5 linked regions of the Daphnia pulex genome follow. The protein of the gene in region 1 interacts with the protein of each later gene in a pairwise test. Links are inferred from orthologs where the notes say so. Each region holds a gene or a part of one and is shown in the gene's direction. Other genes may lie near its edges.

Region 1 (5,538 bases):
AAGAAGAAGAGAAAAGAGCCAGCCAAAGTTACACACACACACACACACATCCAGCAGCAGCAGCGGGGGGCTTTTTTCTGTGTTGAAGTATCTCGTTCGGGATAGGATCGTTTCGTCGAGTCTTTATATACACACAGACACTTGCACGGTGCCTGCCCTCATCAAAATGACCCTAATAACTTGATTGAATTGCGCATAAACATCAAGTCGAATAGGCCATCAAAAGCCCTCGGAAAAAAAAGAACCATCTCTTCTCTTCTAGCAGTGGCTCAGACTATATCACGGCCGGCTCTCGACACACCATAGAAAACGCGTGTAACACACACACACACACACACACATTTTTTATTATTATGATGATGATTATTTTGTGTTTGTGTTTCCTTTTTTTTTCTTTTAGTTTTGGTTACACCGTCGCCGTCGTCGTGATTGCTGAATCACATCCGATGTGTTTTATAGACAAACAACACAACTCCTGCCGCTGTGAAAATGGCCCATTGCTGATATTGTTATTGCCCATTTGGTGGTTTTGTTATAGAAACGGACGTTTTATTTATTTTTTTTCTTTCTTTCAACTCACACAACAATCAAGAAGAACTTATCCATCAATCCAAACGGGCAATTCAACACAACAACGGCCTTCACACAGCATTGGTTGACAAATAACGGCAGCAGCTCATTCCTGTTCATCATTTCCCAACGAGAGAAAGACACGAAGCAGAGAGAAAAAAACAAAAATACAGCGATAGCAATTGTAACTTGTAATTGTCTTGAATTTTCTTTTGGCATGACAAGATGCAATTGTAAAAAAAAGAGAAAATACAAGGAGTCATAGATTACTTTCTATATTTATTATTTTGTTTTTCCTTCCCCCTCAAATTAAAGTTGCTGCACTGAAAAAAATCAAATAAAACATAACCAGTGCGGGTTATGTAGGCCTCCCAAAATGTTTCAACTCAAATTCTTAACTCTCTCTCCGGCTGTATTCGAAGGCCGAATCCAAGTTGTAAAAAAAAATAGGGGGGACGACACATCCAGCAGACTTTGTGTGTAAGCTTAATACTACGTGTCTTATATTTTAGGCCTAGAAAAGCGACAAGAGTTTGAAAAAAGGGGGGGCTGGATAGCGGATCCCCACCAATATAACCCCTTGTATAAAATCTACCAAGAGAGCGAGAGAGAGAGTGGTGGTGGTATATTCATATATTGGATTCCTATGGGCCTTCCCTTAAGAGTTATACAATCTCTCCTGTTATTGGGAAAGAAACCTTTTTTCTTTCTTGTGTATTGCGCTGGATATATATAACCCCAAAAAGAAGAGAAGGATGGAACATAAAAATTGAAGGCAAGAAGAAGAAGAAGAAGGAAAGAAAAGGGACAGTCTTGGCGGCGGATAACTGCTCTAAAACGTAACCCTTATCTCTTTTCTCTTGGGTCTCCCCCCGAAAAAACAACCATGGGTTGGGCGCAACCGGCACATACACACACACACATAGTGCGCATACACACACACACCATATAGGCCCTGGCCAATTTTTATTTGGGGTGGGCATCCTCCTCTTCCCAATAAAACGCGGAGAAGAGCAAAGAAGCCAAAGAGTCGTAAAAAATGCATATCCCTTCTTTGACTCTGTGTGTCCTTCGACCCTTTTATACACGTATATATACATCTATCCTATCCGTGTGGCTATGCAAGAGGTCCCCCCCGATATCACCCGTTTTTCTTCCGACGCAACACCCGACTGACCCCCCAATTCTTCGCAATATAACCGTCACAGACTCACACAGCCGAAGACGAGGGGGTAAAAACTTCTCTAGCTGGAAAGAGGGGGTTATAAAAAAAAGAACGGCTGTAACAATTTCCTTCGGAGTATAACCCCAATAACATCTCCAGCATCTTTGTATAACTTTCCCCACCAGAAGAAGAACTGGAAGAAGAAATAGAAAAAAGGACACGCCACATTCTTGAGCGACTCCTCCTTGATCGGCCGTGGCATGTCCTTCTCACAATCACATCAGTTCCGACTCTGAGGCTTGACCGATCACAATGTTTTGAGCAGCTCGATCACAGAGACATTGTCCTTCAAAAAAATCAAAGTCAAAACCCGATCGAAAAAAAGTTTCGTTGCCCATTCCGTCCATCTGATGGACTCGCAGACAGTGGAGCGCTGTCCGTCCAGCAGCGCTTGACGACACAGTAGTTAGTTAATAGCTAGTCTCAATATATAACCCAGTCAGTGAGTTGGTGATCGTTCAGGTGCAACTAGAAAAAACCCAACAAAAAACAACAACGTTGGACATCCGAAAATATTTCGTCGCAATCATTATCGGCATCCATCCATCCATCCGTCTGGCTCCCACAAGTGCGGACCTTGTTACCTTTTTTCGTGCGTGTGTTGTGTGAGTGTGTGTCTGTGTTTCGAGGCCTCCAGAAAAGAAAAAATTGTTGAGGTAGTCGAGAGAGAGAGAAAGAAAGAGAGAAAGAGGAGTCGAAAATTGCGAGTTTCCTGTCTGTTGGTTGAGCGGAAAGTGCCGGGCCGATGACGACGCCGAAGGACGGCCATTTCCACGCCCGACGCCAACGGATTACGCAAACCGCGACTACTCCCTCCTCCTGCTCCGCCGCCGTCTTCTTCTCTCTTTCTCCTTATTTTATCGCTTCATTTCCACAAGAGATTCGGCAAAAGAAAACGCAACTAAGAGCCGCAAAAAGTCCTGGGTGAGTTCACAGTTCTTTTTATCCTCCTTTTAAAAAATAATTTCCCGCGCTAGTCATACATTAGCGAATAACCTTATCGCCAAACTCCGAGCGATTGGCACCGACCAATAGATTGACTCTCAAAACAGCAGTTGGATCGTCGATTTCAACACAGTTACAAATTTTTCAAAAACATTTTTTGGGTGGTTTTTAAAAGTTAAAAGGGACTCGGCGGCGATGTTCAAGGAGCCTCCCAGGAGTTGTAGGCCTAACGCTAAAGGCGGCGGTTCAAATGGCTAATAAAAAACTTTTAAAAAGCACTTTGTGACGAATTGTGCCCAACTGTTTACCCCAAAACACATTACAGGCCTATCATTCTTCACCATTTTCTCTCTCTCGAAAAGTCAACTAACGATATACTATATATTTGTTGATTCAATTTGTTGGTATCGAGAATAACCGCTGAAACGCTTCGAAAGATCATTAGGAGCCCCCCTCACCGAAATAGGCCTAAAGGTCACCGTATAGGATATACTATCTAGTCTGCGCATACATGTAGCCTACTAAAAACCGACTTGGATAAATCATTCTTGGTAATAGCAGCAAGCCAGCACACGCGTATTGATGATTGTTTTACTTTTTATTTTATTTTTTCCCGGGGAATAACGAAGAAAACAAACTGCGGTCGATGTTTTTTTTTTGTTTTTGTTTTTTTCTCTTCTTCTTCCTCCGTTCGTGACTATTGGTGCGAGTTTTTTTTTTGGGAAGCCAGCGTCGGCATAACGAAGTATTTATCCCTTTTTATTTTTTTGCCCGTCTTTCCTTTCTTCTCCAACTTCTCTCCCAGTGACTTTCGGTTGGTGTCGACTCACGACGCCCAAATTACGTGTGTAGATTAGAGAAGAGACGACACACAAACAGACAAACACAGACACAGCGGCGCGCAAAGTCAAGCCAAGTATGCCGCGTGAATGTTATATAGGACCGGACGGGGTGGAGCGGCGGCCGCAAGAGAAGAAGAAAAAAACCAAACCAAACAAAAATGACTCCAGTAGAGTGAAAAGAGAGCGCCCAGCAACGTCGACGGCTATACTAAAACCTACACTTCTCTATACGCATAAGAAATATCAGTAATATGTAATTTAGTCAGAGCTGCTGCTGCTGCTGCTGGCTGCCCAATTTCTTGCCGTCTTTACGCACAAGTCGCGTTTCGTAACAACATTACACAACGGCGGCGGCGGCGGTTCCATTTCCCACACACGGCCCCAACAGTCCGTGTTTTCTTTTTCCTTCTCATTTAAATGACCAAATAAATAAATACATGTTGACTGAAATGTATATCCACATCGCGATGTGCATATATACTCGAGTAGTATACATACAGCCAGAGAAATATGCGTGTTAATGCTTCCAGTATATACATACGTACGTATATATACTACATATACTCAGAGCGTACGAATATAATCATGATAATTATCTGGGCGTCGTCGACTTCTTCTTCTTCAGTTCGGTGGCTTCGACGTGGTGGTGTTTGTCTACTCTACGACATCTAATACAGAAATCTTATAGCTACTGCCTAGCCAGCCCATAACTACACATGTGTACAGTTGGGATATATACTTGCTAGTGGCCTACTATTTCTACCATTTCCGCCGAAGCTCGCTAGCTCTCAATGACTGCACTGTTTATTCTTCTTCTTCTTGTATAGTTCCTCACATCCGGCGCGTGAGGTCGGGAGGGGGGATATGCTATCTGGAAAATGTTATACATAACGTCAAACTGAAATCATAATAATCATAATCATAATAATAATAGGCCGTATACTAAATACATAAAATATAATGAATTGCGGGGGCCGTGATCAGGGCTGCGTGAAGCTGCCGGGACACGCGGAAAATAGAAAAGAAAAAAAAACAAGAGTCCCATAGCTATGGGAGCCGAGTAGAAGGCAGAAGACGAGAGTTCCGTTCCGCAGATATAACTACGGATGGTTTCCTTGTCTCCATAAATATTTCCCAAGTCGAAAGAAACAGAGGAAGGAGTCGGAAGAGAAAGAAGAAGAAGAGCTAGGGCGATCTATCGGATGCTGCTGGCAGCAAATCAAGAAGACGACGGCGACGACGTACAGTAGTAGTGTAGTAGCACTTTGGATGACTGCCATAACACAAAGTGAAATACTTTTGTAGACATCACCGTAGGCTCAAACTGGGAAAATCTATATTTATTCAAGGATTCACATCATTTTGTTTTAAAAAAAAAAAAGAAAAGTCATGAGACAAAAATTTACAAGATTTGGACAGGAAAAAAACAAAAGTGCCGGGCGCTATATGGAAAGGTTATTCGTTTTAAGGTTGTGACCCCCTTCGAAAAAATAAAAGGTGGTCATCGATATAAACTATCTTGGATAGAGGGGATACCTTGTAACTCTAATTTCAAATTGTTTTACTAGCTATCGGCTTTTGTTTTTTTTATGGCCTCCCTTCGATTGAACCGAGAAGTTGCGTCTGATTGTGTCCTGAGCGAGAGTCGGTGAGGTACTCTCATGAGCGCCAAAGGACTCAAGGACGAAAGAGATTGTCAAAAAAGGGAAAAAATCCTTCATCCTCGAGTCTGGGACACAAACACAGGTCTGCTGCCTATTCATTTATTTATAAGCTCGCTCAGATTCTAGAGTGCGCATAATAGTCTAATATACAAAGTTATACTGCTATCAGAGAAGTAGGATACCTATAGGCCTATTTTCGATCCTCCCTTTCCAGAACACCCTTGACATGGGAGAGCCAACAAAATAGGGGGTCCCTTTCGCTATAGTGTCGAGGCTCTGCACGTCAAAGCTC
Region 2 (3,833 bases), on another chromosome or scaffold:
AGGAGGTGCACATCCCTGGGGCATTCTTAGATGCGTGAGTTACGAGGATGACGCGAAACTTATTCAGCGGTAACTAAAAGAATATCCGCTGGCATTTTCGTTTTTGTCTATTCCAACCGATTATATCGGTGTTTGTTTGTGTCGCAACAATGGCATTCTTTTAGCAAAGCCAAGTTCAAACATTTCCGTATTTTCACGGAGAATTAGACGATTCGAGGTTCTTCGTGGGGGAACGTTTCTTGTCATTGAACTTGGCAAATTTGGCTACGGATCATCATTATGCTGTATTTTTACCGTATTTGGTATAAATTTTTTTGTTGGTAATGTGGCGTTTGACCGCTATGCCATCACAAGCAAACAATAAGAAAAATGAGCGAGATGTGCAATAATTCTCGTCAAATTGTACCACTTTCGCTATTATGCACGGTTCATGCTAATTGCGACTACTGGCAATTTCAAATGTAGAAAGACACGATTGTTCTTCAGTCATTAAAGAATGACCACCAGGTTTGAAGCGTGCTGTAATTTCAGCACGTTTATTTTCGAAAGAAACTAGGATATGAGTAGACGACTTTAAATATGAAGGTAAAACATCGCACGTGATTTACTACAGCGTTTAGCAAAAATGTCCAGCGGTTCATAACGCAGCGATGGCATCCATTTTTTGAATTTTTCGTGACTGTCTCCGGGTGAGTTCGCTGGCACCAGTGAATCTAACACTTTCCAGGCGAAACATTTCCAGGAGATAAAAGCTAAAGAAAAATTTTTTTTCTAAAAAATTGTCCCTTCACTTTTGATAAATGCATCGCTCATTTTCCCGCCATCCCTAATTACATATTCCCATTCTGGTCGTCATCCACCTGTATGGTCCTTTTGTCCACGCATCTGTTCATTCGCACGCCAAATTATTTACCGGCCCATGAAACCTTAAAATAGTTTTAGATTTTTCCAAGGATCCCACTACGTTTCCCTTTTGATGGACTTGAAACATGAACATTACCGCCCATCGTCAGAGTTCTCTTTGCAATCGTAATCACTTTTTTTCATCGTCTTCACCAATGGGGGTTCCTATAAATAACGCTTTCACTACTCAAAATGGTCTTTTCTTCAGGGGAATGAACGCTCCTTCCAGTAAGCGTCTAATTTCTTTCAAGTGTCGTTTCCAAAGGTATTCGACGCCCCCCATCGTCACAATTTTCTTCATACTCACATTCTGTATAGTCTGCTCAGAAACCGACCAAAGTCCCAAACCAATAATACTCTTGGGGAAATATGAGAAACTATTTTATGAAAAAAAACCTGTTGAACTTCGTTATACAAAGAAAAACAATGCCGCTAATTGCGTATTTTAAAAAAGGAGGTTCTCCACATACTACAACGACATCTAGTAATAGTTGGAAACAACTTGCAAATGAAATTTGGATGCTGTTCATTTCAACCTTCGAACCAGTCGCCGGTTCTCAGGAGTTTTTGGCTCGTCATTGTCATTTCTAGACTTGTTTGTCTCGTTATCAATTGACAATTGCAATGGCAGTTTTGCAAACAATGGCTACGACTCGAGAAGTTTTCGAGAATATTGCCATCGGTAAGTTTGATCAATGCAGACTGTAATACCGAATTATCATGCTGAATTTTATACATGTTTAGATCCGATGGAAAGTGGAGACATCAACGATGAAGAAGCCATCCGCAATAAAGAGTTGGAGATCATGGAATTGGGAGAAAAATACAAGAAAGAGAAAAAGGCTGCAGAATTGGCTCAACTAATCCGAGATGTCAGACCTTTTCTTGCCATGATCAGCAAAGCGAAAGCTGCCAAACTTGTTCGTGGTCTTGTTGATCTCTTCCTTGACATGGAAGCCCAAACAGGAACTGAAGTCCAGCTCTGCAAAGTAAATATGAACAAATCATTGTCAGATCTGGGATTCAATAGTTTTCTAACCAAATCTTATTCTCTTATTTCATTTTCAATTGTAGGAATGCATTAACTGGGCTGTTGAACAGAAGGGAACATTCCTTCGTCAGAGTTTAGAAGCCAGGTTGATTGCCCTCTACTTCGACACCAAACAGTATAATGAAGCATTACTATTAGGGGCAACTTTACTGAAAGAGTTGAAGAAACTGGATGACAAGTATCTCCTTGTTGAAGTAGGGTGATAAATTTTATTTTATTTTCCCTTACTCATCCAGTTGTTTGATTGATTTCTTCAGGTTCAGCTATTGGAATCGAAAACCTACCATGCCCTCTGCAATTTGCCCAAATCCCGTGCTGCATTAACTTCTGCTAGGACCACAGCAAATGCTATCTATTGCCCTCCAAAACTTCAAGCTGCACTAGACCTCCAATCTGGAATTCTACATGCTGCCGATGAACGTGATTTCAAAACAGCCTACTCTTACTTTTACGAAGCTTTTGAGGGTTATGACAGCATCGATTCCCCAAGGGCTGTTACGGGTCTTAAGTACATGCTTCTGTCAAAAATCATTTTGAACACGTGAGTAATTGGTGATCAATTCAAATTCAAGAAATTTTTAATTATCTTTCCATTTCTTCCATTTTATTAATAGGCCAGATGATGTGCAGAATATTCTGAGTGGAAAATTAGCCTTGCGTTATGCCGGTCGGGAAGCCGAAGCCTTGAAAGCCATTGCACAATCAGCAATTAAGCGATCGCTAGCCCAGTTTCAACAGGTATGTTCAAACTTTTAGCAATAAATGGTTCTAGTTTAACATAAAATATAATGATTTCAGGCCCTGGAAGACTATCGCGCCGAATTAGTAGAAGACCCCATCATCAAGGCACATTTGGAGTCGCTTTACGATACCATGTTGGAGCAGAATTTATGTCGAATCATCGAGCCTTATTCTCGTGTCCAGGTATTTAATTCATTCAATAAAGCGTTAGTTTTTTAAATGTATAAATCCACATTGAATTTTAAAGGTATCACACGTCGCCCGAATTATTGCCCTGCCGGTTGATCAAGTGGAAAAGAAGCTGTCGCAGATGATTTTGGATCGCAAGCTGTCTGGCATTCTCGATCAGGGTGATGGTGTTTTGATCATCTTCGAGCCTACCCACACCGACTCCACTTACGAGGCGGCGTTAGACACAATCCAGAACCTCGGCAAAGTGGTGGACACATTGTATCAGAAAGCCAAGAAACTGACATAACTTGTATACATAATCTGCGAGAATCATCAGATAAAAGTGTCGGGGAGGTAATTTTTAAATATTATTTCCATCACTTGTATGTTCCAGTAAAACATCAAACCTCGAATTGGGACTTGGGACTACCAAGAGAAAATAAAAATAATTCTTTTTCCTACATTAAGTTAAGATTACATTTTATTCAAATTTGTTCTCTTACTTTAAACCAACAAAACAGGCACTGTTAATGGGGAAAATTCATCACACAACATGGCATCATTATGCTGATACTAATTAAAACAATATTTGATCTACATTTCCGACTAAAAAAAAATCGCAATTAATTCATTATTGCTCGAATAGATATGTCACAAATGTGTGTGTGTGTGGGGGAATGTATCACTGTACAAGTATAATATTAATTAGTCGTATATAACTATTGGCTTTCAAAGATAAATCAGTGGTGGGTAACGCTTTCAAATGCAACAAACAAATTATTTTACGTCCCCACAAATTCTAATGGAAGGATGTGTGTCGACTAAATTAAATATCAAATTGTCACAATTGCGATTTCCTAGAAACATATTGCAAAACGGGGGGAGAAAAACAACTGTCGCGAAGGTTGTTGTAAATATTATTTGGTCAATTTTGTTATCAATGTTCATCACGCTACGATATGGACGT
Region 3 (4,053 bases), about 1.7 Mb from region 1:
TAAGTTTTTTTATTTTTATTGTCTATTTTATTCAGAATTGAATTTAACCAATTTGTTCATTTAAGGGTACCCTGCGTATTCCAGCGCCCATCCAGTATGCGCACAAGTTGGCGTACCTTGTTGGTGAATCAATGATGACGCAACCGCATGAAGGACTGAATCGACTTCCTTATTACCTTTGAATTACCTTTCATTTATTTTCTCCCTAAGTTTTGTCATTTTTAACGTATTAATTTGTTCACTCATAAGAAAAAAACTAAAAGACGACGAGACATGCCTCACTCGCACGATTTTCGAATGACGCCAAAAATATTTTTCTTGAGTTTGTTTGCAATGGCGGATATCGACAATGGAAGTGTTTTTCATGCAATTTTTTTTTCTGTTTCACCTTCATGGGCCATGTCAGAAGTGTGATAATGAACGCCCCTTTGTGCCATGTTGTATGTAATCAAGGAATGAGTAATAAACCTTTGTTTTTAAATGAAGTAGATTTATTGACTTTCGTGTGGTGAGTTTTTATATGATGAAATAAACATGAGTTGCAATGGAATTCGCGTTGAGATGGCATTGACGGAAAAGCTCTACGTGTGCAATGCACATAGCACATTAGGTGTTTCGAAAGCACTGAGGAAAACAAAAGAATGTGGCATCGCTGCTTGGCAGGCGTGGTCAAGCTGACAGCTGTATCGAGAAGAATGCAGGCCTGCAAGGCCAACAAGGGTACGTCTGGGCAGGATCGTCTGGGCTTCCTCGATAGTCAACTTTCAGGTCCGCAAAAGCCAAAAGAACTCGCAAGTCATTGAATTGCTAATTGTCCACTAGAGACACCATGCGGCTGTCTCTTTTGTAACCAAGGGATCTCAATCGTCCCACAGCGAACTAAATCGTTTATAAAAATTATTTCAATACTATAAAATGACTTGATTTCATAACTTGAAGCTTTTTAAAAACACGATAAAATAATATTTACGTAACAAAATAGATGGTTGCTAGACATCCAATAATGAATTCACAAAAAGTATGCATAGAATCAAATGATTAGAATGAACATGTCATTACTCGGATAATAGAAAATTTGAATAAAAGTTTTATTTCATAAGAATTAATTAAATACCTAAAAGATTAGACAGCCCCCAAAGGTGTTTGGCCTTGTATAGATGTCAGCACTGTACGCTGCTAGATGCATAGGTAATAAGAAACGAGATCTGGCAATCTGGCCTCTTCCCATCCCATCGACTCTCGCTGGCATTTTCCGCTTTAGCTACAGGGCAAAGCATTCTAGCAAGCGTACGGTGGAGTCTCAGTTGCTAGCTACACTCTTTGGTCTTAGTCGAGACAATTCGAGGCAGGTTCCGATTCCAACGGTCTCGCTTTTGTTTCTTTATCCAGTGACATCTGCTTATAGTTTATTCCAGCAGCCATGGCAGACAGAGAGGATAACGTTTACAAGGCAAAACTCGCCGAACAAGCCGAAAGATACGATGGTACGTAAATGTCATTTAAATGTAAAATCGAAAAAAAGAATGAAGTTTCATTTCCTCTGTGTCTCTATGACTGTGCATCTCTGTGGGTAAAACCGAACGAGACGGTAGGCGGCTTTGAAAAAAGGCTTGGGCGTTTGACAGACTTATGACGTTTTGACTTTTTGTCTTTTTTCTTGTACATTCGGTTGTGTAATGGGGAAATTCAGCGGCGTCCCCCCTCTTAGTGTTGGCTTGAATACTTTCGATCAATATGACACTCGTACTTGAGGTTCATTTTTCCTGACAATTCCATTTTATCAAGTATAGTATAATCTCAGCCATGTTTTCTAGAATCTCTTTTGAGGGTTTTTGTCGCAGTACGAAATAAAAAAAAAGTAATTCTGGGTGTGTGTCCGGTGTGTGTGTGTATCTCTGGGTGGTTTTCCTCGAAACCTACCGCTACGTAACGAGATGACTTGGATCAATGAGTCATGAGAGAGAGAGAGAGAGAGCAGAGACTTTGGACTGTCTCTTTGTATACTTGCTTTCCAATAACTTTTTTATTCTCTTTTTCGTGAAAAATACGTAGTCGTTTCTATTCAACTTGGGCCTCTCACCATTGCGCATCACCAAGGCGACGGATCTCTTCAAAACGACGCTCGGTAGAGTACCCCACCCTTATGTGCGTGATGCGTTGGGGGTCCTGGCTACGTTGATGAAAACGTGCCGTCTAAAAAAGCTTCTCTCTCTCTCTCTCTCTCGAGGACATCAAAAAGGAAACCGTTCACACAACAATGGCCGCCTGTGATGGTTAATTTTCTCTTCTATATTTTTCTCTCGACTCTTCTGTCTGCGGCTTACAAAAACCAAGAATCGGTCAAGCTCTGACAGTGGGCGGAGAAACCCGATGGAAAATTAGCCACCATTTTTATTTTTCGTCTTTTTCCTTTAGGAAAATATTCCAACTGGTATGAATGGGGCGTTTTTCTATTTCCACATATTTTCGAAAAAATAGTTGTCGCACGTGACGCGTCTCGTGCCTTTTGTCGTTGTAGAAAAAAAAAATTAGTTTTTATATTTTTAACTTTATTCCCCCCCCCCCCCTTCACGTTTCAATGATGGAGGGAAGTTGGAAAGAAGAGAAAATGCGGTGTGGGTGTGTCGCCCTAGAACCTGTCATTACGCCACTGCGATGTGAATCCAAGTGGAGAGCCTGTCCGTGCATACAACTCGATCGTCTGGTTATTATTATTTCCCTGAATTCAAACATGTACGCCCAGCTGGAGAAACTTTTATTTTTCAATTCCTCCCTTAGAAAAAAAGAGGACACACATAGTTTTGTGTGTGTGTGCGTAACGTCAACTCGGTTTGCCCCTGTACTTTTCCTTCCTTCCGCCGTGGGGATGCTGATGTTGGGGGTTATATGACGACTGCGACGTGCTGGATGTGTGGAGAGCGGGCGGAACTAGGCGGTAGCGTGTTTCCTCCCGTGGCCGTTATTGATCCGCTACTTGAAAAGTCGCTCGAGTGTGGGGGGTGGGGTAGACAGGGAGATGGGGGGGAAAGAAGGCAAAGCCTTTATGTCTGAAAGTGTATCTATCTTTTTCTGTCCAAAAGAGAAAGGGATCCTCTGACAAGTTTCTTTGGCTAAGACTATATGATAATCTGTTTGTTGATGCAGAAATGGTCGAGTCCATGAAAAAGGTGGCGTCGATGGACGTCGAGTTGACTGTCGAGGAGCGGAATCTGCTGAGCGTGGCTTACAAAAATGTGATCGGCGCTCGTCGTGCATCTTGGCGCATCATCTCGTCCATTGAACAGAAAGAGGAGAACAAGGGAGCCGAAGATAAACTTGAACTCATCCGCAATTACCGCAATCAGGTATGGATAATGTATTCAAATTTTATTCATTGATTTGTGCCTTTATCTGTTTTGTCTATAGGTCGAGAAAGAGCTGAAGGACATTTGCTCTGATATTTTGAGCGTCCTCGAGAAGCATCTCATCCCATCAGCCACCACTGGAGAATCTAAAGTCTTTTACTACAAAATGTAAATCGATTTTTGCTTGGCCTTTTTTTTTTCAATCTTGCGAGTAGTAGTTGGACATTCCTATTAAATGCACCGGTGGATTTCTCTCAAAGTCCTTGAGACTCGAGCGTCTGTGATTTCGAATTCTACTCGTGTTTCGCTTTGAGAGAAAAGAAAAAGTGTCGTTACTATCTCTACCAAACGTGTACACAATTTTATCGTACGTAAACGTTGCGCCAAGCGCAACTTTGTGTGCGCGCAGACATGTTGTGGATGGATGGCCTGGTATTGATTATTGACGATTTTACACAACTCCCTTCCTCTGCTTTTGTCGTTGTGTTATACAGGAAGGGTGATTACCATCGGTATTTGGCCGAATTTGCGACAGGAAATGACCGAAAGGAAGCTGCAGAGAACTCGTTGATGGCTTACAAAGCCGCCTCCGACATTGCCATGACGGAATTACCCCCCACCCATCCCATCAGGTAACTTAACTAACAATTTGTTGCCGATCCTCAACTTAACTTTATCATTTGTAGATTGGGATTGGCCTTGAACTTTT
Region 4 (4,296 bases), on another chromosome or scaffold:
GGCAACTTCCACTACCTTTCTTTTTAACTATATTTGTTTTTATTACATAAGACGTGGCACTATCAAGCGGAAGTGCTTGCACCTCAGCATCGCTGGAACCTTCATATGTTTTGCGGGCCATTGGCGCTGAAGAAGATTTGGCGCATTCTTCTATTCGATTTGGAATTGGGCGATTCACCACCGAAGCTGAGGTTGATTACACCGCACAAAAGTGTATTCATCAAGTCACCAAACTTCGGGAAATGAGGTAAATACCGAATTCGAAGAAGTCGAACCGTAACCCGGGTCTGGAATTCCCCGACAAATAACTTCCTTCATTTCTGCTAAAAATGTTAATTATGTTTTTTCTCCACTTTTAGTCCTCTTTGGGAAATGGTCCAAGAAGGGATTGATTTGAAAAGTATCAAATGGACGCAGCACTAATCTTTCCATTCAAAAACAAAACTGAAAATGTTGCTGTATAAATTCAGCCTTGTAAAGAAAATGATTTGGAAATATACACTGAAAATAGTGTTGACCAATAACCTTTAATATCTTTTAAGACGATTGTTGCAGAAAATGGTATCGTAAAGTTACAAGTTACTTTGGACTCTTTAACAGTAAAATGAGCCGGGAAATTTATTAGCTATCGGTACCATTGCGGTGCAATAATAAGTCAATATAAAGTATCGAAGGACTAGATCTAGAATAGATTAAAAAAAAAAAAAAACGGCACATCCTGCAGAGAAATTTGACAGCCTTAATATGTCCGTTTTTTGTTCAATAAACGAGTTGATATTTTTGACAATGCCAAACGACTAAGTTTCCGTCGAAGCTCTTTGGGTTAAAAAAGTTTGAAGTCGTTCCTAGCACACAAAAAAGCAGGTGTGCATGGTAACGAAGACTTTTGATTCCTTTCACACTCTTTGTATGTGATTTATGGGGCACTTTTACTTGACATTATACTTGAAGTCATTACATGAATTTCATTTAAAGTTTGGAAAAGGTGAAGAAGTTAATGTAATCTTAAGCGAGCAAGCGAACTTTTGTTTTTTTCATTGCTGCATATCGGGAAAAAAGTACAAAAACCGAAATTTCATATTGCGGCGATTTATTCTTTAGCCAATCGACAGCAATCCACGGCTCCCTACCCCTGAAATGCCAACCTATTTATTACATAGCTGTATCTAGGTAATTAAAAAAGGAAGAGGTTAAAAACCTGCTTGAGAAGCAATGCACTTTTTTTTATCATTTGTTCAATGGTATTTGTGAGTCATTCCGAACTTGAAACTTTTTTTTATTCCCCTCCCACTCTTTCCGTCTGGACAAACGGGCAGGGGAAACTAGCTATGTATTCCTACGCTAGAAATTTTAAAAAATATTCTAAAATATTATTGGACTTTCCCACAAATATTTGTTTTATTATTTTTTTTTGTTTTGGAATAAAACACATTAAATACGTAATTTCAAGCTATATTTAAATGTTTTTGGTTTTATTGGTTTACCATAGAAAAACAGAAAACGCCAAAAAAATAGTTCCGTTTCAAGCTGATGGCCGCCATCTTTAAGGGCTTTTTAGACGCGTCAGTACTTCAGAACGAAGCAGGTCCTTGTTTTCTGATTGTGGCAGGTGTGGCTCTGTTAATCTCTTGTCACCAAATCGAAATTCCAAAGGTATGTGACCTTAAATTGTTTAAAATTACACTTAAAATGTTTTTCGAAAGCAAACAACAATTTTCTCGACTTTTGAATGGCTTTTTACTGTGTCGAAATCTCAAGTGACAGTCAAACACGCAGTTTACTTCATCATAGTTGCGACACTTTGTTAGCCCTGGTTCTTACCCTCGTTTCTTTATTTAAGGTTATCTCGTCGCAAAGTCGTCGATACACAGCCGCATCATGAGTTATCAGATGCAGGCACAAGGGAGGCCAAGTATGAGCTTTTTTAAATTAAAATTTTTCATTAAATCTATTATAACTCTTTAATTTGTATGTATAGTGTCACATGGGCAATATGTTAGCAATAGCCCTGCTGATCTTCCTATGCCCAGCGTTAAGGAACATACATTGATGTGGCAAGGAGTTGGGCAACCTGGATATGTAGGAGATTCAGGAATCCAAAGTGGGGCAACCACTCAGGTAAATATTGAGTGAATTGTGCGAGTGAAGGTAACCTTTCGAACTAAATGTTTACTTCTTAGGCCCCATCACTCTCTGGAAGAGGTGGTGATGATGATATGGATACTTCTGAAGGAGGAGTCATGCTTAACATGGGTGGATCAAGTGGCTATTCAGCTGGTTATACTCAAGACCAAGTTGAAGGTAAACAATAAAATATTTTTGATTCTTATTGCGGTATATGTTTTAATCAAATACTTTGTTACAGACATGAATGCTCAGTTAAACCAGACTCGCTCCCAGCGTATTCGTGCTGCCATGTTTCCAGAGACACTGGATGAAGGAATGGAAATTCCATCTACTCAGTTTGATACCACACAGCCAACTGCTGTTCAGCGTTTAGCCGAACCGTCGCAAATGTTGAAACATGCCGTTGTTAATTTGATCAACTATCAGGTATTATTGCTGAAATTCAAAATTTTGAACTGCTTAAAGTAATAATATTTGGGTTGGTAGGATGATGCTGATCTAGCTACAAGAGCTATTCCCGAACTGATCAAGTTGTTGAACGATGAAGATCAAGTTGTCGTATCTCATGCTGCCATGATGGTTCACCAGTTGTCCAAGAAGGAAGCGTCCCGCCATGCTATCATGAATAGCCCACAGGCAACCAAAGTTTCTATGATTTTATTATTACTCTGTGTTACACTTCTTTTAAAATTATTTTCCAAGTTCATAATGCATATCCGTTTGATCGTAGATGATTGCGGCTCTCGTTCGAGCACTGTCCAATAGCAATGACCTGGAAACAACCAAAGGTGCCGTTGGTACCCTGCACAACCTATCACATCACCGCCAAGGATTGTTGGCTATTTTTAAATCTGGGGGAATTCCAGCTTTGGTGAAGCTGTTGAGGTATTGTCCCGTCTCATCCTTCATGTGTCCGAACTGACGGCTTTCTTCAAACGTTACTTATTTTTATTTTTTGTCATCTCGAAAAGCTCGCCCGTGGAATCCGTTCTTTTTTATGCTATCACGACGCTGCACAACTTGCTGCTCCATCAAGAAGGCTCAAAAATGGCCGTTCGTTTGGCGGGTGGTTTACAGAAGATGGTTGCTCTCCTTCAGCGCAACAATGTCAAATTCTTGGCAATCGTTACTGATTGTCTTCAAATTCTGGCGTATGGCAATCAAGAATCCAAGTTGATCATTTTAGCTTCACAGGGGCCGATGGAACTTGTTCGAATTCTTCGGTCATATACTTACGAAAAGCTGCTGTGGACCACTTCACGAGTTTTGAAAGGTAATTTATAAAAACCGTAATGTTTAATGTACGTGATTTATTTATAAATTTTTTTCCCAGTGCTGTCGGTCTGTTCTAGCAACAAACCAGCTATTGTTGAAGCTGGAGGTATGCAAGCGTTGGCAATGCACTTGGGCCACCAAAGTCATCGCCTAGTTCAGAACTGTTTATGGACCTGCCGCAATCTTTCCGATGCTGCGACCAAGCAGGTGATTATCTTCTAAAAGAAAAATTATTTTATGTTCTGCTCCTATCTTAAGGACAATGCTTATACCTTTATTTTTCTCTTACAGCAAGAAGGTTTAGAAACCCTGCTTCAAGGACTTGTTCAGTTGTTAGGTTCTAGTGATGTTAACGTAATCACTTGCGCTGCCGGAATTCTCTCTAACTTGACTTGCAACAACCAACGCAACAAGACTGTTGTGTGTCAAGTCGGTGGTATCGAAGCGCTGGTTCGCACCATTATTCATGCTGGCGATCGTGAAGAAATCACCGAACCTGCCGTAATATATCCATCTTTTTAAAATGACAAACGTGTTGGTTCTTACAAAATCCATTAATTACAGATATGTGCTCTGCGTCACATGACATCACGTCACGCTGAAGCTGAAATGGCTCAAAATGCTGTTCGTCTTAGTGGTGGACTGCCCGTCATTGTCCGTTTATTGCAACCCCCCTCTCGTTGGCCACTCATCAAGGGTATGTATCATTATAGCAAGTTTGTCTTTTAAAATGTCTCATAATTACCATTTTTGTTTAGCTCTGATCGGGTTGGTTCGTAATCTGGCTTTATGCCCTGCTAACCACGCTCCGCTGCGAGAACAAGGAGTTATTACTCGTTTGGTGCAGCTGTTGATCCGTGCTTTCCAAGACATCCAACGAGTACGTTTGTTTTA
Region 5 (3,910 bases), on another chromosome or scaffold:
TCCATATAATTTTGGAGAGGGGGACTCTTGTCTGTATACGGTTCCGTGTCATTATTTGATGATTGCCGCCCACAGGCAAATGATTCCATCCATTCCGTTGTGTCGTCAACCCCCCACATTGGTTATGTCGCCGTTGTGTCGAGGGGCTGGAAACAAGACACGCCTGTAGGCTCAACCGCGGTCCGTCATCGTCGATTGTCGCGTGAAAGCGGTGGGATGGATGATGATTTCGGGGTTCCGTCTCTTTCTCTCTCTTATCATTTCGAGATTGTGTCTCTTTTTTTCTGGCTATATCATCTTGTTTTTTTTTTTGTTTTCAATTGAAAAACCCTGGCCAATTTTGCGGTAAACCTTGAAGCGTGACTGAGTGGATTATCTCTCATTTTCAACAAGGTAGGAGAAGAAGAAGAAGCTATATATAAGAAGATACAAGCTGGTGGACATGGCGCCAGCCGATCGGTTCCCATCGGACTTTTATTTTTTGTTTCTCTTCTTCTTTTTTTTCAAAAAGAAAAGGAACAACTCGCATGTTCTCGTTTCACTTTAAAGAAATAAAACCCTCGCCATTTACCAGGCAATTGACACTCGATATGCGAATCGAACAACAAAACAAAAACACAAACAAACTATGGGTTAATGAAAGCAAATGGATAGGTGGATGCGGTTTATCGCGCGCATCTAAAGCAAAAGCGGGCTGAGGCTGGCGGCGGCACTCGGATACACATGCCAGACGTATCCATGGCTGGATCAGCAGTTTGGCTGTGCATATAAAGAAAATGGGGTAAATAAGTGGGTGGACAAAAGAGGCCTGCGACATTGAAAGTACTACACATCCCATACATGTCTATAGTATTTTTTATTTTCAAAAATGGCACACGGAAAGAAAGATGGATAGTAGCAATCTCTCTCTCTCTATGTGGAAAGGCAGCAGCAGATGGTGATAATTAGATAAAAGATAAAAGATTGAAAGAAAAGAATTGAACGCAGAGACGACGACCGAATGAAGGAGGAGGAGGAGGGATCAAGGCATCAAGACTTGAATGGCCGAGAGATAATAAAAAGCGGATTGGGGGGTTCGGAAAATGGATGGAATGAATAAGAAAAGAGAAGAGGAAGGCCCGAAATTGGGGAGGCGACCAATGGCGAACCAGGGTCTCTCTCTCTCTTTGGCAGCCCACCCAAGGGCTATGGCCAGCACACAATTCCGGAGCCAGCGCGACGATCCGTCTCCACTCGTACGGACTTGCGAAAAAGCAACTGGGAAATAAAACATGATATCTATCGGGTCGTCTTCACTCTTCAGCATCAGTCGTTCAAGTATCTCAGTCCAGTGCGGTCGCGTTGTGTGTGCGTCTTCACTATTTGAAAAATAAGAATAACAACTTTTTGCTGGCCCATTATCAGTGTGTCCACTCCAAGACACTTAACAGAGTGTTGTGTGCTTGTGTTTTTGTGTGTGCACAGTTGATTGTGAGTTTAGAACCCAACAAGTACAAAGCCATTAAATCATGGATGCGGCTAAATTGGCATCGTCGGCCGTGAGTCGAGAAGATGAGCTTCAGCAATTGGCAATCCATGCGGCCGGAAATCGATTCCCAAATGAACGGAGACCTTACGGTATGTTTTCGTTTTGCATTTGGGTAGTGAAGAAGAAGAAATTGTTGGTGGGTTCGTTCGTTCAACTCTCCGTTTTTCTCTTTCTCCCTTTCGAAACAATAGAATTGCCACCGATTGGTAGCGCTGGATCACCGTATCAACTTCCTCCGTCGGCGGCAGCTCATCACAGTGCGTCGGCAGCTGCGATGATGGCCCATCGCCATTTGGCAGCCGCCGCTTCCGTCAAATCCGATCCCAACATCAAAATTGAATTGGAAAACGCCGAATTGTGGCAACAATTCCATCAGATCGGCACGGAAATGATCATCACAAAGTTGGGAAGGTGCGTGAATCAATCCATCAATCGGGCGAATTTGTTTCTCTAATCCAACTTTTGATTTCCTTTGAAAATAATCAGACGGATGTTTCCGACTTTGAAAGTCAACTTGAGCGGATTGGATCCCAACACGAAATACTTTGTCCTGTTGGATTTAGTCCTGGCTGATGATTCTCGATTCCGTTTCAACGCCGGATGGCTTCGTTCCGGCAAGGCAGAACCACAATGGCCGTCGAGGATTTACACCCACCCGGACAGTCCTGCCACCGGAGCTCAGTGGATGAAACACGAAATCTCATTCCAAAAAGTCAAATTGACCAACAACACCATGGATCAGCAAGGCCACGTAAGTTAATTGATCATTTCGTCACACATTAATTGCGACTCGGGTATTAACGGACAATTTTAATTTTTAACCTATACAGTTGGTTCTCACCTCGATGCACAAGTACGTTCCACGAATCCACGTCATCGCAGCTTCCGATTACGCAAGCCTCCATTGGGGAATGCCTACGACCATCAACACCGCGGCTTTCAACGTCTGCAGTTTCATCGCCGTCACCGCCTACGCTGTAAGTTCTAAATGTCGGAAAAATTCAATTACGAACGTATCAATAACGATTATTCTATTGGATTTCTAGAACGATCGAATGACGCAACTGAAAATCGATAATAACCCGTTCGCCAAGGGATTCCGTGAAAACGGCCAGCTTCGAGTGAAAAAGCGACAATTGAGAGACAGTTCACCTGGTAAGTCATTGATTCACCTGCTCGATTTCAAACGGAACCCGTTGTATTAAACTCGTGTCTTGATTCGTTTAGAAAACCGTAAAAAATCTCGACCGAGCAGCGCTTCAAGCTCTCATTCATCACTCAACATCACCGACGACGAATGCAATCCACCAACAGCGCCCGGAGTCCTCCAGGATCCTGTCACTCCGCCACCTTCGTTGACAGTTTCGTCGTCATCGCCCATCAAAGGTTCACCCACCAACTTTTCAATCGCTCGCCTAGTGGGAGAAACAACCAGCCCGGCACCCATCATTTTCCGACCTGAAATGCAACATCATCAGCCGTCATCCTTTCACCATCTTCATCCAGCCATCCATCCGTGGATGGCAAATCAGCATCACCACCATCTCAGTCCTTATTCTTCTGTGTTTGCTCCGAGGCTGACCGGATGGCCTCACCACTTGCCTTTGATTCCTATGATGCACTTTTCTTCCATGTTCCAGAATGGCCCTCATCACTTGATGATGGGAAGCCCTGGCTCGACCTCACTCACTGGAAATCCTAATGCGAACAAACTGTTTTAAAAATTCTCGCCTTATTTTCTTCGTTGTCCCTTTTTTATTTTCTTTCGTGTATTCCCTCTAGTCAAAAGGGGTATGCCGCATCACGTGCCTTCGCTCCGCACTCCCTGTTGATATAATTGTATTATTTTCACGTTGAATAATCAAACAAACACAAAACAAAAGTGTCGCAAATATCCCATATTCTATTAGCACAATGAAAAAGTGATTTTTTTTTCATTTCTCACTCTTTTAAAATTAATTGATTATTACACACACAAAATAAAAAAAAAATAAATACAAATCCAGCAAATTGAATTCATTTATTCATTAAGTAAGTCGAAACGGCTTCGGTGGAAACAAAAAAAAAAATTATTAATTTATTTATTTCGATGTAACGGGAGAATCGAATAAAACGTCGCCTACTTCTCATTTAGAGCACAGCAGCATCTATTTCTTATCGCCTTCAATCATTGCAATAACCTTGGCTCGAATACCCTATAAAATCGATAAGATAAATAAGAATTGTAAGCTCAATCGTTTGGTTTTCTAACCTCGGCAATTTTCGCAAAAGCTGGCTGAATTGTCATTAATTGCGACGGCAATGGACTTGAAGTTTCCGAACAACTCTTGGAAGCTGCAGCTTCTAAATATAAACAGATTCAATTAAAAATACGAACGCACT

The links.
Region 2: the proteins of homeotic protein ultrabithorax-like (region 1) and 26S proteasome non-ATPase regulatory subunit 11-like interact in a two-hybrid assay, tested with the Drosophila melanogaster proteins (2 studies listed by BioGRID). The link is inferred for Daphnia pulex from reciprocal best matches to the Drosophila melanogaster genes Ubx and Rpn6.
Region 3: the proteins of homeotic protein ultrabithorax-like (region 1) and 14-3-3 protein epsilon interact in a two-hybrid assay, tested with the Drosophila melanogaster proteins (2 studies listed by BioGRID). The link is inferred for Daphnia pulex from reciprocal best matches to the Drosophila melanogaster genes Ubx and 14-3-3epsilon.
Region 4: the proteins of homeotic protein ultrabithorax-like (region 1) and armadillo segment polarity protein-like interact in a two-hybrid assay, tested with the Drosophila melanogaster proteins (2 studies listed by BioGRID). The link is inferred for Daphnia pulex from reciprocal best matches to the Drosophila melanogaster genes Ubx and arm.
Region 5: the proteins of homeotic protein ultrabithorax-like (region 1) and T-box-containing protein TBX6L-like interact in a protein complementation assay, tested with the Drosophila melanogaster proteins (2 studies listed by BioGRID). The link is inferred for Daphnia pulex from reciprocal best matches to the Drosophila melanogaster genes Ubx and Doc2.

Annotation. Positions count from the first base shown.
Region 1 is NC_060024.1:12,334,479-12,340,016, forward strand, and holds the start of homeotic protein ultrabithorax-like, read left to right. Parts: upstream 1-1,959; 5' UTR 1,960-2,719; intron 2,720-5,538. UniProt on the Drosophila melanogaster protein: Sequence-specific transcription factor which is part of a developmental regulatory system that provides cells with specific positional identities on the anterior-posterior axis. Binds the consensus region 5'-TTAAT[GT][GA]-3'.
Region 2 is NC_060026.1:15,973,869-15,977,701, reverse strand, and holds 26S proteasome non-ATPase regulatory subunit 11-like, read left to right. Parts: upstream 1-1,407; 5' UTR 1,408-1,527; coding exon 1,528-1,585; intron 1,586-1,647; coding exon 1,648-1,892; intron 1,893-1,977; coding exon 1,978-2,148; intron 2,149-2,211; coding exon 2,212-2,495; intron 2,496-2,568; coding exon 2,569-2,692; intron 2,693-2,752; coding exon 2,753-2,878; intron 2,879-2,942; coding exon 2,943-3,173; 3' UTR 3,174-3,333; downstream 3,334-3,833.
Region 3 is NC_060024.1:10,588,760-10,592,812, forward strand, and holds the start of 14-3-3 protein epsilon, read left to right. Parts: upstream 1-1,253; 5' UTR 1,254-1,420; coding exon 1,421-1,484; intron 1,485-3,144; coding exon 3,145-3,344; intron 3,345-3,405; coding exon 3,406-3,512; intron 3,513-3,838; coding exon 3,839-3,976; intron 3,977-4,030; coding exon 4,031-4,053. Other genes in the region: piwi-like protein Siwi, read left to right, coding at 66-182. UniProt on the Drosophila melanogaster protein: Positively regulates Ras-mediated pathways. Acts downstream or parallel to Raf, but upstream of nuclear factors in Ras signaling. Three mutants have been isolated, that suppress the rough eye phenotype caused by mutated Ras1 (sev-Ras1 v12).
Region 4 is NC_060020.1:4,722,842-4,727,137, reverse strand, and holds the start of armadillo segment polarity protein-like, read left to right. Parts: upstream 1-1,496; 5' UTR 1,497-1,653; intron 1,654-1,840; 5' UTR 1,841-1,878; coding exon 1,879-1,912; intron 1,913-1,978; coding exon 1,979-2,118; intron 2,119-2,180; coding exon 2,181-2,301; intron 2,302-2,365; coding exon 2,366-2,553; intron 2,554-2,613; coding exon 2,614-2,772; intron 2,773-2,857; coding exon 2,858-3,012; intron 3,013-3,098; coding exon 3,099-3,400; intron 3,401-3,460; coding exon 3,461-3,609; intron 3,610-3,693; coding exon 3,694-3,903; intron 3,904-3,966; coding exon 3,967-4,099; intron 4,100-4,160; coding exon 4,161-4,282; intron 4,283-4,296. Other genes in the region: cysteine desulfurase, mitochondrial-like, read left to right, coding at 52-247, 360-423. UniProt on the Drosophila melanogaster protein: Isoform neural may associate with CadN and participate in the transmission of developmental information. Can associate with alpha-catenin.
Region 5 is NC_060017.1:3,031,733-3,035,642, forward strand, and holds T-box-containing protein TBX6L-like, read left to right. Parts: upstream 1-1,292; 5' UTR 1,293-1,508; coding exon 1,509-1,617; intron 1,618-1,719; coding exon 1,720-1,939; intron 1,940-2,014; coding exon 2,015-2,279; intron 2,280-2,358; coding exon 2,359-2,505; intron 2,506-2,574; coding exon 2,575-2,683; intron 2,684-2,755; coding exon 2,756-3,249; 3' UTR 3,250-3,410; downstream 3,411-3,910. Other genes in the region: hypoxia up-regulated protein 1-like, read right to left, coding at 3,676-3,723, 3,780-3,871.